3 linked regions of the Lonchura striata genome follow. The protein of the gene in region 1 interacts with the protein of each later gene in a pairwise test. Links are inferred from orthologs where the notes say so. Each region holds a gene or a part of one and is shown in the gene's direction. Other genes may lie near its edges.

The links.
Region 2: the proteins of ESR2 (region 1) and NRIP1 interact in a two-hybrid assay, tested with the Homo sapiens proteins (2 studies listed by BioGRID, with this or other methods). The link is inferred for Lonchura striata from reciprocal best matches to the Homo sapiens genes ESR2 and NRIP1.
Region 3: the proteins of ESR2 (region 1) and PLSCR1 interact in binary tests that used the Homo sapiens proteins (3 or more experiments, as listed by UniProt). The link is inferred for Lonchura striata from reciprocal best matches to the Homo sapiens genes ESR2 and PLSCR1.

What each region holds. Positions count from the first base shown.
Region 1 is NC_134608.1:7,192,628-7,200,252, reverse strand, and holds the start of ESR2 (estrogen receptor beta), read left to right. Parts: upstream 1-4,346; 5' UTR 4,347-4,685; coding exon 4,686-4,700; intron 4,701-5,876; coding exon 5,877-6,349; intron 6,350-7,625.
Region 2 is NC_134604.1:8,744,162-8,752,092, forward strand, and holds the start of NRIP1 (nuclear receptor-interacting protein 1), read left to right. Parts: upstream 1-4,738; 5' UTR 4,739-5,019; intron 5,020-5,218; exon of another isoform or gene 5,219-5,280; intron 5,281-5,825; exon of another isoform or gene 5,826-5,852; intron 5,853-7,931. UniProt on the Homo sapiens protein: Modulates transcriptional activation by steroid receptors such as NR3C1, NR3C2 and ESR1. Also modulates transcriptional repression by nuclear hormone receptors.
Region 3 is NC_134612.1:13,965,024-13,973,658, reverse strand, and holds the start of PLSCR1 (phospholipid scramblase 1), read left to right. Parts: upstream 1-5,442; 5' UTR 5,443-5,521; intron 5,522-7,149; exon of another isoform or gene 7,150-7,229; intron 7,230-7,818; 5' UTR 7,819-7,840; coding exon 7,841-7,847; intron 7,848-8,602; coding exon 8,603-8,635. UniProt on the Homo sapiens protein: Catalyzes calcium-induced ATP-independent rapid bidirectional and non-specific movement of phospholipids (lipid scrambling or lipid flip-flop) between the inner and outer leaflet of the plasma membrane resulting in collapse of the phospholipid asymmetry which leads to phosphatidylserine externalization on the cell surface.

The sequences.
Region 1 (7,625 bases):
CAGAGGTTTTCCAGAGAAACTGTGGATGCCTCATCCCTGGGAGTGTTCAAAGCCAGGTTGGACTGAGTTCTGAGCAGCCTGGTCTCCTGGAATGTGTCCCTGCCCATGGCTGGGGGGATTGAAATTAGGTGATCTTCAAGGTCCCTTCCAACCCAAACCATTCACAGACTCAATTACATTTCTGTGAATACACTTTTTGCAAATGACCAGAAGGAAATGGAGTGGAGGAAGTAACATGTACATTTGTTCTAGGACACTGTCATTAAGAGAGAAATCTTGAAGGAAGGCTTGAATTAATTAATTTAAAAAATTAATTCCTCCTGGATCCAAGGAGCAGGTGTATTCCATGCTGTTGGGACAGAGCTGTGGTGTGGAAATCAAAACAAGAATAATTTTTTTAGAATTAGCTTCCCTAATTGGTATGTGCTGAGAGATCCAAGTGTGCTTCAGAGATGCTGGATGCAGATGGTCATCCCATATCTGTGAAAATCTAAATCCCCATGCTGCTCTTTCCTGCCATTTCTTGCATCAGAGGAGATACTTTTTTCTTTTTTAATAATTAAATTCTTGCTGGAAAAGGGTGCTATCCTTTGTACTGGCTTCTGCCATGATACTGTTGCAGATTGAAGCATGATCACAAAATACTCAGATCCTTGTATTTATAACTTGTGTAATAGTTTAAACAGATGTCTCTTTTCTAATGGAACACACTAAAATTTTCATCATGAAATACAAATATTCTTTTGGACCAAAAACTCCACACAGTACTTTGAAATAGTTACATGGAGAGTAAAGGAGCTGAAGTGTCTCGTTTTGCATTTGTATTCTGGAGCAGGACAGTGGCTTTTCATTTCTGGTGTCTGAAACCCTAAAGTCTATGAAACATACCTAAGAGATGCAAATAATAGAAAGCTTAAATCCACTCTCAGATCTGGTAACATTTTAATGGTCCACAAATTTAAAGGCTAAAAACTAGTAAAGTCAAACTTAAATTTAGTTTGAACTGAGATCTGAAAATATTTTTTAGTAATGGGAAGGGAGATCTAGAGAGCAACTAATCAAGCATCCTGCTCAAAGTGAGTATTTTTAAAAATCTTTCAAAGATAGGGATTTCACAGCCTTTCTGGGTATCCTGTTCCTGGACTGAATTCTCACTGTGGAGAATTTTTCCCATGTTCTACTGGGATTTCCCTTGCTCTGGCATGTGGCTGTGATCTCCTGACTTGCGCACTTTCCGTAAAAAGAGTCTGGATTCCTTGTGTTTGTAACTCCACTTTAAAGGGTAGAAGACCAAAGTTGTTTACTCCTCTAGTGGAACAAATCCAGTTCCTTTGGTGCCCCCATGTCAGATCCATTGAGCTCTGAAATGTATTTATGAATGTTTAGAATAATCTACAAGTTGCCAGTATTCTGAGTAACTTAAAGGCTAGCATAGACTAAAGAGTGCTCATTTTGCTTGTTTCAAAGTACTTTTTCCTGTGTGATTTTGAGCTGCACGATTTTATTTAGAGTAATTCTTGATGTCATTGGGGGCAGGTTATTAATTTTGGAGGAATGAGTACAATATCTGAAGTTTGGACAGATAGCTGTGTTTGCATTTTGCTTCCCTATCTGTCCCCTACTTGTTGCATCCAGTGCTTCTCAGGTAATAATAAACTTGTTTACTTGCCTGCCTTCTGTTGGCAATATCTGGCCCTGCTGTGTTTAATGAGTAATAAGTTTGTCACAAAACCTGAAGCACAAGTATCATACGCATCAGGAATGACTTTCTTTTAATAATCACTTTTCCAGGAGATGATTCAGTTTATTGTTGCAGGGAGTTGTGTAAAATGTAACTTAACAGAATATTAATAGAATGCTCTGTGAGATAACTGAGGATCTTTGGCTGTGGGGTGGTGGAATGCAACACTTGCTGAATCACCTCCATTAAACCCAAAGGCTCAATGATTGCACTTTAGTCTAAGCTTAGCAGAGAAAAAGGTCATCTTGATTCTCTACTGCAAAAAATGTTTACTCTAAATATATATAAAATGCTAAGCACGTTGTAGTGTATGTTGATGGAAGAGTGCCTGAGAACATGCATCACTCCTTGCTTTTTGAAGTGTTGTACTTTTCTAGGAAAAGCTATTGTATTGTGTTCCCAAGCAGCCACCCTACCCTCTCTACCTATTTTTCCCCTTTCCAAAACTAACAAAAAAACCACCAAACAATCAAACAAACATAAAACTAAGAAAAAAAAAACCTAATTAGTTTTCTTTTTCCCCACAAGGCTTTTAAAGAGGTATTTGGTATAGGTAATGTGCAATAAGAGGCTTTCAAGTTTGTTGAAATACGTCAGATGGCTTAATTATTTACCCATGTGTCTGACTGTGACATCTAAACCAGTCCTTGTGCCTCACCTGGCATGCCTTGCATGGTGACTTGAGATACATTCAGTTGTAGAGTTATTCAAAGACAAAAAACCTATTTTTTTTTGTTTTGGTCCTTTTTTTTTGTTGTTGTTGATTTTGGGTTTTTTTTGGTTGTGTTGGTTTTTTCTGTTTGTTTGTTTTTGTTTGGTTTTTGTTTTTTGTTTTTGTTTTTTTGGTGGAGAACATTAATAACATTTGTTTTTTCCTGACCTCCTCATGGATAGTGGTGCCATCCTCAGGGTACTGGAGCTGATGAAGCTGCTTTGTGTCAGAAGTGAATCCTGCCTGTAGTGTCTTAGATTTGTGAATGGTAAGTGTTACTCGAGGAACTGGCCAGAATGGCTGTTGTTTACTTAATAATGGCATTTCAGTTGTTGAATATCTCACTAAGCTAAACTGACTTCAGTGGATTAAAATATTTGCAGGCTCCAAGGAGACTGGAATATAAAAATAATAGACACCTGTTTTGTTTCTGTGTTTGGTACAGATCTAGTGAAGAGCTGACAGACTGCATCTAAATAATGTATTTTATCATTGAATCTTGCTTTTAAAATCTTTTTTCAGAGGAAGAGGGAGTGTTGGGACAGAAGTTCACTTTAGGAAGTAGTTAATTTCTGTTTAGTGAGTAGTGTTTAAGATATGAGGACATTATACCAGGATGGAACAAATTTACTAGCCTATTTCACTACTTATTGTAATCCTTGTATTAAATGTGGTTGTGCTTCCTTCTGAGGTGTTTGTGGAGTTTTCCTCAAGTCTCAGACCTTGAGATCTGTTTCCCTCAGTCTTCAGTTCTTTAAGAGACACAACTTCACAGACCAGCAGCCAATCTTGAGGACTTTCTGAGCAGTTTCATTTTAAATTGTGTGGGTGTGAAGAAATGTGATCAATGAGATCTCATGCAGATCCATAGTCTACTGTGCCTGGACTATTTCTGTTACCCAAGCTAATAATCTCAAATCAATACTGTTATTTTTTCACTACATTACAGCCTGCTGAAGACCATGAGTGCAGTTTTCTTTAACCTGCTGGACCCCAGAGTCTCCTTTTTTTGTAAATAATTTATAAGCAGTTTTTCAGGAAGGCTGTACTTACTTCTTATGCTTGTGTGAACTCTTCCCCTAAAACAAGCTTCACTCTTGCTGCTGGTAACTTCTGTGAACGTTTCTAAATGCTGTGGAGACAATATCTCCTCTGCTAAGCACACGCACATTAGTGGATTTTCTTTGTAGAAAAACATGACTCAAATCTCAGCTGATTCCTGTTCATAAAATTCCATAGTAGCAGCTCTGTGTTCTCCCTGCTTCTACAGCATGCAGGCGTTTATTTGCTAAATCAATTTTTCAGTTTTGGCACAGCAGAATGTCTCTAGCTGACTGTAACACAGATGTTGCTGTGATGCTGCTCAGGTCCTTCCCTCCAAAGGATTTGGGGTTCCCCTGTGCTGTGTGCCCTTCCAAAGGAGGCAGAGGGACAAAGTAAGCACAGACAGCTTTTGTTGGGCATTCCAGATTCTCTGGCAGAATTTGGAATTGCCCATGCTCATCCTGGATACCTGCAGCCTCTGAGACTGCAAGGGGAATACAGCTTTGCTTATAGTGACTCTTTAAATGTGTGCTGAATCCAGTGAGCTCATTGGGCTCACTCATAGTAACTCCTGAAAATACTCCTATATTTTTTTTTTTTTGTTCCATCATTTCCTTCTAAGAAATGACCCACCCCCTAATCTGGGAGTGAAAGCACCTTTTGAGTTTATCAGTGGTTTTTTTGCAGTGAAGTTTGTACGATGCCTGGTTTTTCCTGGAGGAGGCTGTGAAGCATCTGGTGGGGGCAGATGAAGTGTGTGGGGCGAGGTCAGAATCCCCTGCTTTGACTGCTCTGGAGTTCCAGTCCAAGAACTGCTGGACACAAACAGCTGCTGAGATGTCTCATTTTCCTGTTTCCCACAAAGGAAAAAACAGCAGCTGGGTTTAAAATGCCTGAGCTGATTTAAATGAGTTTCTGGTTATTTCTACACATATCTTCAGTTTCATCACCAGAGTGCAGAGTGAGGAGGGAGGAAGGACTCCCAACTGTCCATTTTAGTCAAAAAGACTATTTCTTACATTTCTGTTAATGCTTCTACTCTGTCCTCACCCTAAAGGAGAAAAATGTATCAATACTCTAAGGTGGCACAATAGAAATGCCATGGGGCTGAGAGCTTTGGGGACAGGGAGGTTGCTGGTACTTCAACAAACCCATGCTTGACTCTTCCTCATCTTGCTTTATGGTCATATGAGGCAAAAAAAGGTAAGAACATTTAGCATCTATACCTTTACCAGTTGTGTAATAGCAAAGCAGTGGGTGAATGTTTAGTTATCCTGTGGTTTCTCATGTTAGGATCTTATTAGCACATGCAAAAGTACATTGTAATATCAGTTCAGGGGGCTGAAAGCTGCTGTTTTGGATACAGAATTGTTCTGAATTGCAAACTAGGTCTGTCTTCAGAGCTGGAATGAACTGCAGATGAAACTCCTAGTGAAGAATAAAGAAAAAATGTTTTTAATGCTACAGTACAATAATGCTTCTAGGACAGGGGTCTGTCTCAGGAGGATAATATTGGAAGGTTTTTTGGTTTTTTTTCTCTCTTAAATAATTTGTATATGCCTAAATCTGGCAAAGAGTAATTACTGTGGGCAATTGAGAAAGGGCAGGGGTAGTTGGGATGAGGATGAAGAGTTGCTAGGACTTATGAAACTTCTGGACCTTATGAAATCACTCGAGTTTTGTTGTCAGCTTTGGAAATACCTGCGTTTTATGACTTCTACTTTTATAATGGCTCTGTTCAGAGCTGCCATGCCCAGGAACCTCTCAGAGATGAATCTGCACCTTGCTGACATCCACTGCATAGAGGGATGTGCAGTGGAGTTCTGGAATTGGAATGTGTAGGGGGGGGATATGCATGTGTGTGTGTCTATTTTCAAAATATCTGCTGCTGCGTGTTTGTGATGGAAAAGGGAAGCACCCTGAAGTACAAGGCTGAAAACTGTAGTGCAGTTAACAACAGGAGATGGTGAGTTGTTGTAAAGAGAATTGATTTCTCCTCTATAGCTGTGGACCTTGGGGTAATTTTATCTCCGATAGAGTGCAGATTTACCCCGGTTGTAACTCCTGGTAAGATCCAAGTTGTCACCTTCATCTTTGTTTCAAGCAGACCTCAAATAGTTTTGTTCTTAAAATTATTATTTTTTAAGGGAGTCTGAACTCAGCGTGTGTTTTAGCTTTTATTTTTAAGGATATTCTAGAAAGCTTTCTTTTTCTTAAAGGTTGTAAATTTGTGCATTGACTATTTAAGTGCATTTTATATGTAATCTGTTTTCACAAGATGTTATCTGGTTTACTGGTTCCTTTTTTCTTTTATAGAAAAGACTTAATGCAGAGCTTTTTTATTTTTTAATTATTTTTTTTTATTCTTTATTGTCTTAGGATGAATATTTAAACAGCGTTCTTCAATCTTGCTTCAAAATGTCCCTGTGCACATCTTCTCACAAGGACTTTTCTCAGTTGCTTCCACTTCAGGATATTGGATGCAATAAGACAGAAATTAAAAACTCACCTGCTGGTGTCATCTCTCCAGTCCCTTACAACTGCAACCAGTCCACGCTGACAGCAGAGCACAGCCCACTCTACATTCCCTCATCCTTCATGGAAAACAGGCACGAATATTCCACCGTGGCGTTCTGCAGCCCCGCTATGGTCAATTACAACATTGGCAGCAATTTTGGGGACGCGGAGGGCGTGACGGCGAGGCAAACCTCCAGCCCCAGCGCCCTGTGGGCTGCTCCTGGCCACCTGTCCCCCCTGAGCCTGCACTGCCAGTCCTCCCTGCTGTACCCAGAGCAGCCCAAGAGCCTCTGGTGCGAGGCTCGCCCCATGGAGCCAGTGCTGCCCGGGAGCAGGTCAGTGCTGCTTCTTGCTTTCAGACTTGCCCGGGTATTATTTACAGCTTCCTTAGCTCAACTCTTTTCTTTTTGCATTCAAATTAAAGTGTTGGTCCCTCTGAAAAACAAAACGACGCAAAAAGTAACTCCGCTAGACACTAAATCACTCAGGGAGTGTGTGTGTTTGTTTTTAATGTAACTTCTAAAATTAGGGGTTTTTTTCCAATACCTCCTTAGAGTACTATACACCAACACAGAGCATTACAAATATCTTCAGTGTGGGAGCAGTTTACATTGTGCAAATAAAAGTCCAAGACAGCTAAGTACTATTTTGTGTAACAAAATTAATTCTGCTCTGTCAGATTAAGTCATTTGAGTGAAAGAGGGAAATACTAATTCTTTTTGCCTTTTCATATAATATTGAGTTAATTTTTACCCAGATTTTTTTTTTTTTTTTACTGCTTCTAAGAGATGTGAAGGCTTTTTGTTAACTTGAAATCCAAGGGAAATGTTTTCTTTGATTTTTGGCTTTAGTATAAGCAGTCACACAGCAGCATGCAGGACATTAAAAGGGGGCTGCTGCTGAAAAAGCCTGACTTTGTTTCTTGCTGCTGCTCCCAACTAACTCCATAAAATTATTGTGAAGAGCAGAGTCACAGGCTAAATTTGCAGCTGACAAGAAAGTCTGTTTGCAAAAGCACATTCTTGTTCTGCACGTTTACTCATATTGCAAACCCAAATCAGCATCTGGATCATCAGCTGATGAAATTGCTCCATTCTTGGGCACAACACTAGCTGGGTGGATAAAAGCTCGGAGTCTGCAGGTGCTGTTCCTGCTTCAGCAGCTGTATGTTTATTCATAGGCCTCCTTATTTAACTTCAGCAGTCATTTGGAGTATGAAAAATAGTGTGTCCTGTAACAGTTTAAGTTCAATAGTTAATAAAGGATTTGTGCTATTTTTGAGACTACCCACACTCCTTCTGCAATGGGTGGGCTTTATGGAGTGCAAATGTGCTTTCAGTGTAGGTGTGTGGATTGGGAAAGACTCTTTGGGTAGCACTTACATACAGAAGAATTCCCCGAGCAGCTTTGATGTGAACAGGGGTAATCCAAACTCTTTTCACTTTGGTTAAGGTTCCAAAACTTAGACAGCCCTGGGAAGGTTAGGGTTTGAAGCTGTCCAGATGTTGGAATAGCAGCTGGAATAACCCAGGAGCAAGAGCACCCTGTCTGATGCTCTGCAGTGCCCACTCTACAACAGACAGAAGGGAAGCCAAACCTGTCCCACTGGAG
Region 2 (7,931 bases), on another chromosome or scaffold:
GCTGCCAGATCGTGTGTGTATAATTCGTACGTACTGTTCATTTCATTTTGGAACATACTGTTTCAACAACATGGCTTGTGTCAGCCTGAGAACCATGGCAAAGGGTTACCCAGAGCTCGTGTTAGCCAGCCAGCAAAATGGGGCTGTGAAGCAAAATTGTCACTGAGAGTAACTCCTGAAAGCAGAGGGTGAGAGAGGGCATGATTCTTCAGTCCTCTTTCAATCTCTTGCTGCTGACATGGGGAATTCAGCTTTGTCAGAGAAAAATTCTGAAAGGAAAATGAGTGTTCTGAACAGCTCCAGCTGCATGCCTATAACCTTCTCAGACATTATCTTTGCATACCCCCAAGTAGGAGCAGTGCTTGTGCAGTGCAGTACCTGCTCTGCTGCTGCTTTCTCCTGCCAGTTGATGAGCAGGGACTCCAGCATGGTTATTTTCTGGATGTGCTTTCACACTACCAGGAACGTGACTCATCAGAACAATGTTCTCAGAAATATAATCTTCATGTTTGTGCAAGTGGGATGAAATGGAAGGAAATTCAGGAGTACAGGATGCTCTCTTCTGGATAAAAAAATCCTGGTATTTTGTTCTGGTAAAATAATTAATGTAAGGTAGTCATATCAATTTAGCGCCAGCCCCTTTGACTCTTCTATAAAAGGTGTCAAGTAGTGTTTATTTCCTGCCACTAAATGTAAGACCTGAAGTGTTATTCCTCATTTAGGGTCAAAAACCTGCAGACCTCTACCCCAAAAACACACATGGCAAAGTAAGCCTCACCCTAGCTCGTGCCTCAGAACAGATACAGCGTGCTGGAGGCATGGCCAAAACTCACCAGATGCTGCAAGCATATGATTCCTCCATGAGAGTTTATATGGTACAGCTGTCTTTAAATGTTTCTGTAATTGAAAAGACTCTAGCATCTGGTCCTTTGCTTATTACTCTTAGAATAAATAGTCACGATCTGAAGTCTACTTTTAAATAATGCAAGGAAAAAAAAAGTTAATTTGAGCTACTAAGGGTACATTCCTCTCAGATGACCTGCTTGGAAGTACTTGTAAAAATGGAAGTAGACTCTGTAATTAAAAAAATGAAAAAAAAAAAAAAATAGGAAGTGGAAAACAACTCCAGTAGGGAATGATAGATGTATGCATGCAAATGCCTTCATAATTTTAAATCTAGGTAGATGAAAAAGCACTGGTGTGTAGTTTTTATAACTTTCAGCCATAGAATATCTTACTCTTCCTTTTACACATCATTGTGTCATTCAACTCTACCACCAACAGCTGCAGACTTGCTGCTGTCAGGAGGAAAACAGGAGATGTCCTGTGGTACCCCCCTGCAAGAACCCTTCCCTGGACCAGTTCTTCCCTGATAACACTTGTAAGGCTCCCACTGATTTCAGGTACTCCCAGACAGTACCCCTGAAGAACAGCAGAATTTTGCACCTTACTACTTCAGATTTATGGATGAACACTGATATATGATGATCATTAATTTAAGCAAACCTCCTTTGAAGTCTTTTATTGAATAAACAGGATTCATCATAATTCCTTTTTTCTTTTTATTTTCTATTTTTTGGTGTGTGTGTGTGTGTGTGTGTCTCCCTAAATTCTGGAATAACTAGGTGATTTAATCCTCTGTGAAGGCACCTTTGGAATGGTGGCTAATCTGACATATTACGTGAATTGAACTAGGCTGAGTCAAGGACAGAATTTCATTATTTGTCTATGTAAGGCTGACAAACTATTTTAGAGGAAGATTTAGTCTGGAAATGCATTTCTGTAAAGCTTCTCGACCACAACCTAAGCCTCTCATATCATGATTGGATGCCATAAAGCAAGGCCTTAATTATTGTGATTGAAAAAGGTAGTTTCAGAGTGGTTAGCTTTTTGAGAGGCTGAGATAACCTTAAATAAAAATCAAAATAAAAGCAACTGTAGTTCTCCCAAGCTCTTCAAAGCACCTTATGTGATTTAAAAATGAGCTAGCATTAGCTTAAAAACATTTGGGAATAATAAAATAGCATTTGCATTTACTTTTTGATGATAATATGTATCTTTTTACCATATGGCACACACCAATGTGTTTTGTTTCAGTAAGTTGAAGACAAAGTTTGCTACTGAAGATGAATCCTTGCTTATCTTTTTTAAATGTACTATTGTAATCATCAGAATTATCAAAGATAAGTTGTAGGTACATCAACATTTATTTAACCATTTTTTAAATGGTCAGACAGATTAATTTTGTTCTTCAAGAATGTTAGAATCATAGTTATATTTTGGTTTTGATAGAAGTTTTCCTAGGTCAAAAATGCATTAGGATATATTTTTTTAAATATATAAAAGAAATGGTTTGCTGATATTACCAAAGTATGACACCAATAGCTCTCCACTAAATGTTTGCTTTTCTGGGAGTGAGTTCTAATGTAAGCTCTATAATAAGTTTCTCCCTTCCAAGACTGATGTAAAGGTAGTTTATGCTTCCTTGTCACAACTGGCCTTCCATTTAACATCATCTTATAGCGATGAATTCCCTTTGAAAAAAAATTGAGCAAAGTGTCCAAAATTTTGTGATGTCTGTAGGACAGTGAAGGTATAGACACCACCCACAGATGGTGGATTGGTACAGCCATGGATGCTCACCTTTTATGTTTGGGGAGTGAGAGTGTGTTTGGGTTTGGTTGAAGAACGTTCAGAAAGGACCAACAAGTTCACATCAGTACTTTCATACTTCTTGAGAGATGGAATTTACTACGTGATGCATTTTTTTCCTTTACTTGTACAGGGTATTTATTCGGTATATTGTTTGAATTCTCATAGTTAAGTAAACATGGACTAGCGGCACAATTCATTGTGATACAACTATTAAGCAGTGGAAACAACCTACTAAATCTTTATGTTTTATTATTTAATACAGTCTCCGTTGATTGTATCTTCTGAAACTTGTGTCCTCAAGCAACTATATGTTACCAGACAACAATCATTTTAACAAATACTCCACACACACATTTTTTTTTTATGTTGCTTGTCCAAGATTCCTCATTTTGTAGGTCTCTCATCTACGCAATACATTCCCTAAGGTTAAGAATGAAAGACGTCTCTACTACAGACACTCTTGATTGAAATAGCAGATAAATTGCTGCAGTAATGAGAAAATTTCCTTTTCCCCAGATAACTCAGCTGCTTAGCATTGAAAAAAATTTGAGATGAAGATTCTTTGTGAAATAAAAAAATTAGGGATAATTTCTTTACGATCAAAATTTGCTCATGAGCCTATAATGGAAAGGAAGAGAAAACCCATTCTTTTCATGGAAGTACAAGTAGGCTATATTATGAGACTTATGCTCTTAAAAAAAGGGACTTGTATAAACACTGTGACATGCAATGGCTTTAGAAAATGCTGCTGCATGTCTGGAAGAAAGTGGTTAAAAACACATGATGAAGTTAACCTAAATCTTTCATTGGCTTAAAAAAATAGGTCAAGTAATACATTACTAGCTCCACTCTAAGCCTGTACACAATCTGTACATTCCAAAGTGAGAGGTTTTATTTAACATTCCTACATCTACTTTCATTCATGTTATCACTCAGTTAAAATACTTAGCTTTTCATAAATGTGACTCCCTTTCGCTTTCTTTAAAGTGGAAATTCCTGTGCTCTTTAATATTAGTCTCCCACTAAAAAGACGCTTGAATAGATCATTTATTTTACCTGAGTTTTAAAACTAAAAGGTGGGCATGTGTTAATGCAGTAATTACCATGCAGTTTATATGTGACTTGCAAACAAATTTGTTTCTCTTTCGTCAGTCTTTGACTTGTAGAAGTGAAGTATCATGAAGTATTCTGTAAAGCGTTTGGCAGACAGTGTGCGACACGGCGAGACGTTTGTTAAACACAGGCACACAGGAGGTGTGATGAAGGTCGCATGCACTTTGTAGCTTCGTTTGTACAGCCAAGCTCAGCCTGTATCTCTGCGTACTCTCTTTGGTGGCAGCAAAGTCTAAAGAACAACTTGACATTCCGTGCAATTTCTGACAGCAGAGCTTTGGGGGACGTCGCCTAGCAAAATATAGGGCTGACTCTTCTTGGGAAGCACTGCTCTGCTCCGGGTTGGTTTATTATTATTATTATTATTATTATTATTATTATTATTATTATTATTATTATTATTTCCCTCCTAAACTGCATTTATTTGCCACGTGGCTTTAATGAGCTGGTGTGCCCCCCCGTCCTCCTTCCCCGCGGCACAGGGAGCGCCGGGCAGGGATGCTCGCCGCTCCCGGTGCCCTGGGAGAAGGAGATGCGCCGGGAAGCGGGGCAGCGCCACCCCGGAGCAGCCGCAGGTGCCGGGGCCGCTGCCGGGAGCATCCCGGCTTTTCCTTCAAAATAGCGTAGTAACAACAACAACAATAATGATAATTATAATGATAGCACTGAACTTTCTAGCCCGTGGTTTTTTTTCGGAGGAAAGGCTGAAAACTTAAGCTGTAAACTGACAAGTACTAGTAGCACGAATAGCGCCCTCCCCCCTATTATTCCAAAGCAGCCGAAGGGGGAAAGGAAAAAGAAAAATAAAAAAAGGGAAAAAAATAAAGTGTTATTTATAAGCCACTGCCGTTTTCATCCGATACGGGTCCTCCGGTGCTGTCGCTCGTGAGTTTCCCGGAGGCTCTGCGATCTCAGTCAGGTTAATTAGAGGGGGCAGGAGGGGCTGGGATTCGCGTACGTGCGGGCGGCCGCCCTGCCCTGCCCTCGCCGCGGCGGGCGGGGCGGGGGGCGCATCCCTGCGTGCCCGCATCCCGCCCCGCCTCCTGCCGGAGGTTACCAAAGGGTTAAGAAACTTGGCTGGAGAGATGAATGGCGCGGCGCGGGGAGGGGCCGGGCTGCGCCGCGGCGGGCGAGGTGGAAGGCGGAGAGGGAGGATCGCGGCTGCGGGTTAGGCTTTGAAAGTCAGCCTCGCAGGCATTGCAGCAGAGCCCCGAGCCGCGGAGAGCAGCGCAGCGGAGCTCGGCTCGCCCCGTATGTGCGCGGGGATGCGCGGGGCGGGGGGGACGCGCGGGGCCGGGGGTGGCGGGAGGCGGCGCGTCCTGCCCTGCCCGGCCCCGTCCTGTCCTCCGGCCGCGGGGACCCGCCTGGGCACTCGGCTCCGGCAGCCGCCGCTCCCCGGGGCTCAGCGCCGGGACCGGCCGCGGCAGCAGGGCGGCGTGCGCGGCGGCTGCGGCCGGAGCGGCTCCGGGGGGCTCGGGCGGCCCGGCCGGGAGGAGCCGCGGCGGCCGCGGGGTGAGCGCGGCGCTGTTCCGCCGGGGAAATGGCCGAGCGGGGCCGGGCCGGGCCGGGGCCGCGCTACCGGGGAACAATGCCGGGGGGAGCCCGGCGCGGCGGCGGCGCCCGCGGTGCGGGCGGAAAGTTTGCCCGGCCGCGGTGGGTTTGGGGGAGCCGCCGGAACGGAAAAGTTACTATTCCGCCCCCCCACCGGGACCCGCGCCGAGCGCACGGCCGGGCCCCTTCGGCGGGGACCCGCGCCGCCCCGCCCGGTGCGAGCGGCGGGCGGGCGGGCGCTCGGAGCGCGGCTGCGGCGGGCGGGCGGGCTCGCTCCGGGGCTGCGGGCAAGGCCACGCCGCCCCGCCGCCTCCCGGCGCTGGCGCTGCCCGCCCGCCGCCACCTGCGGGCCCGCCGCCAGCCCGGGGCCGGCCCCGCGCGGCGCGGCTCCCTGCGCCCCCCAAAGATGCCTTCTCATCGCTTCGGGCTCCTTAGGGACGTCGCTGTTTCCCTTCTAGACTAAAGGTTACTTTTCCAGACGTGGTGGTTCTTTTTTTTTTTTTTTTTTGGTGTGTCCCCGAAGCCCTCTAAAGGTGAATTTTAATTTTTTTTTCTTCCTGCCACTGCCACCCTTCGTTTTTCCCTGCAGAACGTGTTGTTTGAGGCTTTTCGTTCTAAGTGTCAGCGGGTGATTAAGTTGGGAGGTAGTGAGACCTAAGGAAACGTAGTGTAGGCAAAACGGGGGCAGCGTTGTAGCGAGCAGACAGCCTTGTGTTTGTGCTGCACCTTTCTTCTTCTCTCTTGTGTATTCCTGGGGATTTACTGGGCTTTTAATTTAAAGAAGGATTCAGATAAAATAGCTTGACACATGTTGGAGGTGTTGGGAAAAAACAGCAGGATTTCTGGCTTTGGGATTATGTTGTTGTTAAGAAGGCTGAAGTGGAAGTTGTCCTCTTTTGCCTCATCTCTCTGGAATCTGGCGACTATATTATTCCTTGTTTTATTTTGAGGGGACCTGCTGCAGTGTCAGACAGCTCGCAGGCTGATTAGAATTTAACTGAGTCATGGCACTATAAATGCTCAGAGATACGGTAAAGCTTTATTTAACAAAGAGTGTGAATCCAATCTGTGAAGACCTATGGGGAGGAAGCAGTCACTTGTGGAAAGGAGGTGGTGTATTCCTGAGCGAGTAGGGAACATTTTCTTTAATACACAAATGCGATTTACTGCTTCTAGGGCTGACTGAACACATGAGAGAGTGACACATTAAGATGCCAGATGACAAAAGCTCTCTGAGCTGAGGATATCTTGTGGTTGGGATCAGATTTTAATGGTATCTGAGTAATTCTGCTCCATGGGTATCAGTAGCTAACATCTTGGAAGGCACAAGTTCTCATCGAGAACAGTGTTCAGGCAGCTTTGGGGTTTTCGCTATCTGAGGCAGCTGTTTTCCCAAACTTGTGGTAGAGAAGTTTGACTTGTTCTGTCGGTGGTCTCCTGAGATAGAGTTGACATGGACTCGGAAGGAAGACTGAGTTGATCATGAGTGAAATGCGAATGTGAGGGTGTTTGTGTTCTGTGAGTTCCATGGAGGAGGTAAGGAGTAGTGACTGCATGTTTTGGGCAGGGTGAAATCTGACCTGCTGTTAGACTGGCCTATGCTTCTGGGTTACCTAATGAGCAAGAGCTATCAATGGCTTTCAGGTTTTGTAGGCCATGCATGCACAGAATGCAACATGCAGTCAAAAGCCAAACCATGCTGGATTGAGGTTTTTGGGTTTTTTTCCCTTTTAGTCTTTTGGCAGAAAATTGCAGATGGAAAGATGCTCTTCTTCTCTGCTTCCCATGCTTGTTTCTTTTTCTAAAGTGAAAGGTGTGCTAAGCAAAATTTATTATAGTCATAAAAACTATGTTGATAAAGAAGTAAAAGTAAATAATGCTTTTATATTGTAAACTTAAAAGGGTGATCTAATCACTGGCTGTATCACCTGCAGTGTTTGATAGTTGTGTTTGGGATAAATCTGTTCTGTAAAAGGCATGAAGACATTTTTTTAAGTGATTCAGTTAATTCAAACATGAATTAACTTTATAATGCTCGTATTTGCCTGTAGTTTTGCTTATTGCAGGGATTGCTTAAAAGAATTGACAGAGTCCTGCTTGCTTAAAACTTATTTTGTCTCTTCAGAGCTAACTTTATTTTTCAGGCTTTGAGCATTGGCAGAAAGTTCATATAGTGCCAGCTTTATTATCATAAGCAGTGAGAGCACTGTTAATTCTACCAGCGACAGTGCGGGACATGACTACAATAAAAGAGAAAACCTGTTTTGCATTGAGCCCAGCACATGTATAAACTTGCCCAAGGCATTTCCCCAGGTCAGCTGTCCTGCTCTAGGGCTGTGCTAAAGACCATAAAGACCATAAGATCTTTGAATTATTATTTTAGAATAGCTCTTCAGAGCTCGCCTGTACTTCAAACCCCAGAAGTCTTGTGGTTGTGTTTCTTTTTCCTGTGTGTGAATGTACAGGGAATGGAAGGAATCCAGAAGAGAGCCTGGGGAAGTGTGGGGTTCCCAGCTGGGTGCTTGGTTTTGGGGGAACAAACCCCTTTTTCAGGGGGGGCTTTGGTGGCCGCCCTCCCATGTGTGGGGCCTGTGGTAGGGCAGGGATCATCT
Region 3 (8,635 bases), on another chromosome or scaffold:
AACAACCTGATCAGTAACAACCAGCAGCTCAATTACACTAAAAAATTGAATCAGAGATTGGATGGCAAATACAATTTATAATACCGCATGATACAGCAGCCACGGAGAAAAACCTTCTGGGCTGGGAGTAACAAATCTGGCAAACTTGATTTGGGAAATAATAGGACTAAATGTGAACCTCCTGAAAGCTCTGCTCAGAATTTCTGGGAAATGGCTCTGGCCTGAGCATGGGGCCCACTGCTTTGATGAGCAATTTCTTCATGTGTGATTATTCCACATACCAGGTAATCAGTGTGAGGAAAGAGTTTATAGTACCTGACATGGGTGACTAAGTCTTAATAGTGAACAGGATTTATATCTGATGTAAATATTTTCCATTTTCCTTTTCCTATGTTTTCCCCTCTCCAGTTTCCAAACCTCCCGAAATCTCCCAGCTCTCTGTGTAAGAAGCAGTGCCTGGTGTTGGGCTTCCTCAATTTTCATTCTTAATTGAGCTGTAAATTCACCTCATAAACTCTTGCAGATCTAGTGGTCCTACATTTACAACTTTTTAATTATCTTCTTAATTAACAGAAGCCTCAAGGTCCCAGTACATTTTTGTCAGATGAGTCTGTTATGAAACACATTAACTTGGATTTCACTGGTTTTAATAACATCCTCCCCTCAGCCTGGTTCTGTGCATCAGCATTGCTCTATTTCTCTTCATGTTGATGAAAGTGCCAGTGTATATCACAGCACAACAAACCCAGATTCTCCTTTATCAGCAGCTCCTGAACAAGCCAGGGGTGCCTAATCAAGAGCATAAGGTTAAAAGGTGTTATTTTTTTTCATAACGCTGAATTCAAATGCAGTGCTAGTGTTCAAAAGATACTATAAATGAAAACAAACATGGGCCTGGGTGCTGCATTACATTCTTTGCAGAGAGGTGTGACTGGTGAGCAGGGGCTCCAGAGGATGGGCAAGGGGAGCAGAGGGACTCCTGGCCTCAGGCCAGAGGTACCCTGTGCACCATGGCAAAGGGCTGCTCCTTACAGGCTTCCTTGTTTTATGTTCATTTTCCAAGGGGAGTCTCCTGACATAACTGCTTTATATGATTCCAGCTCCACAGTGGGGCAGCAGTCTGGGTCTAGAGTAGTTTGGCCAATGAATCCCACCCACACGTGGTGTGTGCTTGTGAGAAAAGGCATTGGAGGGAGGCAGGGAGGGAGAGTTCAAGGATCACTAACACGTCACTGCTACTGTATGATTCAACCTGCTTAAACAAAAGAACTTGGATTCCATTCTCCCCAAAAACTACAAAGGTAACTGAGCATCCTGGGAGCTCAGAGTGCCAGCTTTGACATACAGAGCTGGATGTCTGCCCAGGATGGGATTGTCCTGACTTGATTTTTTGGTGTATTTCATTAATTAGGCTGGTATTATTTTTACTTTTTAGGAACAAAGCCATGCCTAGGAAAGTGTTCCCTGTAAGTACCTATTTGCAGTAGCAATATCCCTTTAGCAGAAAACAGGATTTGCACAAGCTGCATTTTAAACTGTTGGTACCACAGTTAATCCTAAATGCTGTAAACTGTAATGGCCTATTTCTTTATGTCGAGTTGCTCTTTTCCTCCCAATATCCCATTTTCTGTCTGCAAAGCAGCTTATGCTGCTTCAGCTACAGTGCTGACATTCAAAACCTTGCATGATTGGCAGCAGTAAAACTTTATTTGGCTCCCTTTTCAGTCTGAGAAAGAAATTGCTGTGGCACAAAAACATTTAGTAGCAAAACCAAATGTGTGGTATTGCTTCCATTGTTGTTCAGTTGTTGTTTTCTCCTTGTGTTTGAGTATCTCGAGGAAGGACTGATGGTGATGGCTGACAGCTCTCTGCAGGAATTGCTTTTCCCCTGTGAGTGATTATTACGATTGTTAGTGACAGCACAGGGGGACATGCTGCTCCTCAGGATACATAAAAATATAAGGGATGTTACTTTATGTGGTTTGGAACTCATAACTGTCCACTGATGTTTTCTGGATGTTGAATTAACTAAGACATTACAACAACTAAACCCATTTTCACCCAGTTTCCCTCTTGAAGGAAAACCTAACCCTCATTTGTTAGACTGCAGGCTTGATGACTGACTTGACATTGTTAAATGAAATCAAATAAGCAAACAGGCCTGTTTACAATTTCACATATTTACAAATCTTTAATAGTGAGATGATGTGTTAGCTGCTTCTTCTGGCTTCATGAATACATATTTTATCAAAGGCCCAACTACCAAGACAAAAGGAGAGCTACACTGAGATTCAGGGGATGTCAGATGTCTATCAAATGTTAGCAGGATGGACTCAATTTCTCCAGTTCCACATCAAAGAAATAGTAATATTAATACCAAGAATAGAAATTTATGTGTTTTTTAAATGCTTGGATTTAAACTGCTTTTTACTGTGTATACATCATGTCTGTCACATTGGTGGTGTGCTCATGCTAGACTCATCACGCTGTATAAAAATGTAGATTTCACCTATTGGAATTATTTGCCTACCTGCTTTCAAAACCACTACTAGTTTGGATGTAACCTGTACTATAAATGGAAAAAAGGTAAATAACTTATTCTGGAGAAGATTACTTAAATGTGAATAGTTAGGTTGGAGGCAATCTTTTAAATCTAAACTTTCCAAGCAAGTTCTAAATATTGTGCGAATTGTATCAGGTCATTATCATTTTGTCATCAAAAGTCGGGAATAAAACTAACACTGTAATTTCAGTATGAGAAAGTGGAATAATTTTTATTTTCAGCACAGGGCATGAGGGGGATGTCTTTTTCTGACCCCTGCACTGTAGCAGGGGAGAACAGATGAGTTTAAATCTGTGTAACTGATTCAGACTTACGACATCTCCCCAAAACTCATACAGACGTGCTAAATGTTCCTGCCAATTCTTCTGCATATTTAAATCACCTTCCAGAAGAATTGCTGAGGCCCACAGTTTCTAAGGCTAAGATAACCATTTGCACACATGAATAGAGGCCTAAGCACTGTAAGCTAAAGGAATTATCACTGTTCGATAAAATTAAAGGTTTTCCCAAAATGTGCATATGTGAGGGATGGCAAACAGCAGAAAAACAGCAGTACCCCATGGCTGGTGCTCCAACCAGTGCAGCTCCCCTGCCACTGGGAGGAATCTTTTTCTTTGTTCCCTCTTTCTTTCGCCTCTATTACTTCTTTTTCTTTTGTTCTTTCTTTTATTTCCTGGTAGCCCCCTCAAGTTTGTGCCTCAAACTTCACATCCTATGTCCTTTCTATAAAGACAACAACTACTCTCCACTTATCATTCTCTTCATCTCCCACGTCTGTTGCTGTTCTAGGTTTGCTTTCCTGGAGAAGTGAATTTTCTGTGGGATTGTGTCCACAGGCACAGAAGGCAAACCCCCTGGTAACCACTTTTGTTTCCTTTAGCAGTGCAAACAATGCCATGCCTGAGGTTAAATGAGGTTAAATGCCTGAGTTTGAGCTGTACAAAGGCTGTTTGCTCTCGTGTTCAGCCCTGAGTGAACTTCCTCCTGTGTCCCCCCACACAGGTAGAAAGAAGAGAGAAGAGAGAAAAGAAGCTGTTTAGGGGATGTTAGCAAGAAAGATGAGAGCTGCTTTCATCAACCCAGCTCCAGGTTACTGGAGACCTCTGCATGAGAAACGGGTGGAGGAATTGGTCCCACTTCTGGTGCTGGGCACCACAGGATCAGATGAGGAGCCAACATCAGGAGCATCAGAACTTAAAGCAGTAGAAAGTAATATTCTGAATATCCAGACCATAAACAACATAGAAATCCTAGAAATCGGGATCAAGAATCTACAAAGAATGTTTATTATTAGGTAAACATGCTTAAACCTAAAAGACTAAATTACTAGGAGCATGGTCATTTTCTTATTCTCTTGAAACAATTCCTTTCTTACTGTTTTAGGCATTCACCTGATGATTAAATCTGCTCACTGGACAAAATAAAAAGGTACTGACCATTTCAACCCCCTGATCTAACAAAAAAGTACTGACTGTCAGTTATATCAATGATCCTAGCGAGATAAGAAAAGACATTATTTGATATGGGAAAGACTGATAAATTACTCTGTATTTTGTGAATCATGGCATCTTTTTTTCGGCCACTGCAGGTGAACAGGTTTCTTCCATACTTATAGATGTGTGAAATGAAGAGACATGCTGCTGTCTTTGTTCTTTCTGATAGGACAATGATAGTCTCATCTAAGAAACAGTGTTCATCTCTAGGTCAAAAAGTCATGTTTGCTCAGCAATACAATTTGAATTTCAGTGTATAAGTCTGAACCAAGCTAAATATAACTATGCTATATTCCTGTAAAAAAGAAGGGTAGTATCAAAAGCTACCATGTATTTCTAATTTCCCAACCATGTCAAAATAATTCTATACCTATTTCTTAAGAGATGTTTAAAACCTATTTCTTGGTGTCTGCTATTAATCCTCTTAGTGGACTCAGTGTAGATGTGTGGGAAAATGCTAGTCAGCTTTAGATTAGATTCTTATGTACCTGAGGAAAAAAGCAAAATAAAATCCCCAAATCCCTGTCAAATCTGGTGCTTAGGTGAAATCCAGTGCAGGGGCTAGAACAATAGCTTGGGGTTTAGGTTTGGGTTGTTTCTTTGTTTGTTTCTTTGTTTGTTTCTTTGTTTGTTTTAAGTGGAAAGTTCAGTATTGAAATGGAGGCCTTATTTTGGGAAGTAGAATACAAAGACTACTGAGGATGTAGAAGGTGAGCTGCACTTACTGAATCCCCAATCTTGGGTTTTATGCATGCACCAATTACTGTGATCAGATTTATGTGCCTTACATGAAATACAGTTTTCTTTGAAGAAACTTTCCTTTGCCATACGTGGACACCAGCAGCTCCAATCTGTTGTACATGAATGTACAAAAGAGGATGCAGAAGATCTGTTCATCAGAGCTTGTAATCAGGGCCAGCTTTCTCCAAGTCCTTTGTTTCCCAAACAATTTAGTATTGTATATTCTTCTTCCTGTAACTATGAAGTCCACACAAATATATTTTTCCTCCTGAGGGCCTGCCTTATAAACAAGGTAAAATTGTTCCAAAAACATTTGTTCTCCTTTCAGGGTGGACATAGAACTTGGCGTTATTACCTGTATGCAACCTGCTGTCCTCTGACTAAAGGGCAGAAATTAAGTACATTAATTAATTAATTTTAAAAGGACTGAATCGGCTTTGCTGTTGATAGAAATGGAAAAAAAAAAAAAAAAAAAAAAAAAAAAAAAAAAAAAAAAAAGTAAATGCCACGAATAGCGAAACTGTTGAATTACCGGAGTTTCTCGGCAGGGCTGGCAGCGATTTCCTGCCCCGAGCCCAGCCCTGCCCTCGCTCCCACCCCTGCAGCGGTGGGAGTTCCCCAGCGGCACAGGACGGACACGGGGACAGCGGGACACGGGGACAGCGGGACACGGGGACACCGGAGCTCCTTGCCGAGCGGGGTTCCTTGCAGGCGCTCCTCTCAGGTATCCCGGCGTTTTCCTCTCAGGGATGCTCAGTGACCCGCAGGGCTGGGGCAGGGGCTTGACGAGGAGAAGCCCCGCGCTCGTGCGGCTGGGCAGTGCGGGTTGAGCTGGAATTTATCGCTTTAGAGGAGGATCTGGCTGGCAAGGACGGCGTTGAGGGGCGGTGCAGCTCCGGTGTCCCGGAGAGCCCCCGGGGCGAGGCAGGGCTGCGCCCGCCGCTCCCGCAGCCGCTGGTGCGCGCCCGGCTGAGCCCCGCGCCCGACCCGGCCGCCGCTCCCAGGCGCTCCCAGGAGAAAAGTCACTGTAATTTGAGAGGGCACCCAACTGCATCAGAGCCAAAAAAAAGAGTAATTCCTTCTCTGAATAATATTTTGTTAGCATTGGACAAAACGAACTAATTTAATTGGATTGCTGAGATGATTTTTAAGCATACTTCAGCAGTCAGGGTTCAAATCCAGGGGCTGAACAGTCTAATATAATGCAACATTAAAAAAAAACCAAAACAAACAAACAAACTTCAAAAGCAGAATTATTGCATACCTCCTGGCTATTCAGCGTCCTTGCTTTTGAATATTACAACTTGGAAAGGGCCGGGCCTGGTTTGTTATATAACTAAGCATGTTTGTTCCTGGGACCTTACATTACATTAACGTGCTCCTTCCATTGTTTTAGTGAGCTGGATAAGAAATGAAACTACTTGTCATGCTAGTATTCTGTTTTTCTGATGAAGAGCAGAAGCCCTATAGTTAACATAATTATGACATGTCTAAATTACTTGCAGTATATCTAGTGACATGCATCAGGCTAAGGGACCTGTAGCTGTGTTGTGTAGTTCTGAAAATGAGAAAGTGACCGAAAAGAAACATGGACATTCATAAAAAAGGATCCAGGGATGAAATGAGGGCTGAGCTTTGTAAAATTTTTATTGCTTCCTACTACAGAGCATAATAACCTTTTCTAAATACTAGATTGTACAGTGGCTTGTGTGTGTAGTTGTAGGGACAATGAAAGATTCTGGATGACTACAAAGCCCTTCTTTTAAATAAATTGTGTGAGTCTGTCTCTATTCTCCCTTTACCAAAGGGTTTAGTTGTAATTCTCAGTATTTCACTGATGTTCATGTAGCTGGACTATCTCACAGCTTAAACTGATCTTTTGCTAGTTTTATTCTTCTATAATTTGTGATGTTCCTACATTCATACAGTGACTACATTCCAATCTACCCTATGACCAGAACCCAATTAAAGTATGTGTAAGAGGATGGGGTTTTGTTAGTAAAGAAGAGTTCGTGAAGTAGAAGAAAAAGTATATTAAAAAGGAATGTTTTAAGAGCAACTGAATCTGCATTAGACATCACCGTGTGAGATCTGCATTAAAAGTGGAAAGAAAAGCAAGAAGGAATTGCTTTCAGTTTCGCTTCCCAGCTTTGAGCAACCATCTTCATTGAAAGAAACAGAAGAATCATAACCAACAAATTATATTCATGGTTTCACTTGAACTGGATTATTTTTAGAGAACAACTAGACTGATTTTTTAATTTTAAATCTTTCAATCCTATTAAGAATGAGTGCCTGTACTATTCTTTTATGCAGTTCTATGTTTGGACCTCCTGAGCGTTTTGGATCTCTCTCTAATAGTTGCTGCTGTTGTCTTGCTTCACTCATTATCCCAGAGAAAGAGATAACTCTCAAGGTTTAAGCTCATACCAGTAAGTGGGGTTTTGTATGCTTTTGCTTTGTTTTGTTTTAGGTTAGGTTGTTTTTGTGGTTTTTTTTTTTTTTTTTTTTTTTTAATTCCTTTTGGCAACTACACTTTGTTATCCAAATACTGGATATGTGTTATTTTGTAGTACAACTAGAGAAATGGAGTAGCTTAAAGAGCTGAATAGGTGGTAGAATGGCTGCTGCAGGGCTTACCTGAACAGATTTTGTCAACATCAATACACTGAGCCAGGTGCCTAAAATTACTGCAGTAAATTGTTCATATGAATTACAGGATATTTCTGAATGGCTGCAAAATGGAGTCTTGCACATCCCAATGCTTTTCTGAGTTGAGGATGATTTCAGGGTATTCAAGGCATGACTGTAGGCATAGAAAGCTCAGACTTAAGTAGTAGTTCAGACATAGCCTAGAAGGAAGCTGACATATTGAAGTTTACTTTTGCTAGTATTTGTAATTTTGCCTTCCCATACAGTTTAGAGAGGCAAATATCTTTTATCAATAATAGAGAACTCTGAATAGCTCTTGTATGAAATCATATATTTAAAAAATCATGAAACAAAAATTTTGTTTTGCAGAACTGCAAGCAGATCTGTGACAATGCAAGGTGAGTAAAATATAACCAAAATGCCAACTTTTGCTAACATCAAAGACAGCACATTCAAGCAATATTAGCTTAGCTATTAGCTTACCTTCTAATTATATGAAATATGTATGAATGTTTTAACTTGAAATTATTTACATTTTAAAATGGAATATTTTACAAAATGCAGAGCTTATATTTCAGATCTTGATTTCTGAAGTTAAGTAAAAATAATAAATAATTTAGAAATCTTGAAATTCAAGTTATTTCTGGTTATAAACTAAAGCTGGTAAATGTTTTTAAATCCCTAACACTCTTCATCTGCTGGTGAGGCATTAGTATAGTCTGAACTTGAAGGAGCTGGGAGAAAAGGTTTTTTCACAGAGGGGAATGGCTCACTGTCATCCTATTGGAGGGCAGCCTGTCAGTTCCTGGCAATGCTTTGAATTCCAGCCACTTTCTAAATATCAATGAACAAAGGCATCTTTGCCCCAGGCAGAGTGACCTGACCCTGCTTGGGCAGGGCTTGGACTAGCTGATCTCAGGAGGTCCCTTTCAATGATTCTGTGATTCTGTGACATCCTGTGCAGAACTCCATTAAATTTTGCTGATGCATGCATTGTTCATAAATATGATCTTGATGCATATTTTTGCTATACAGGAAACAGCTCCCTAGATTTTTTTCTATGTTTACTCTGGAAAGGGAGTCAGTGCTGGGGATCCTTCACCCAGGGCAGAAGGAAATGATCCATACTCAGAGCATATTTTCATTTTTCCAGGACCTCAACCTGCCACAGCACCTGGAATGCCCT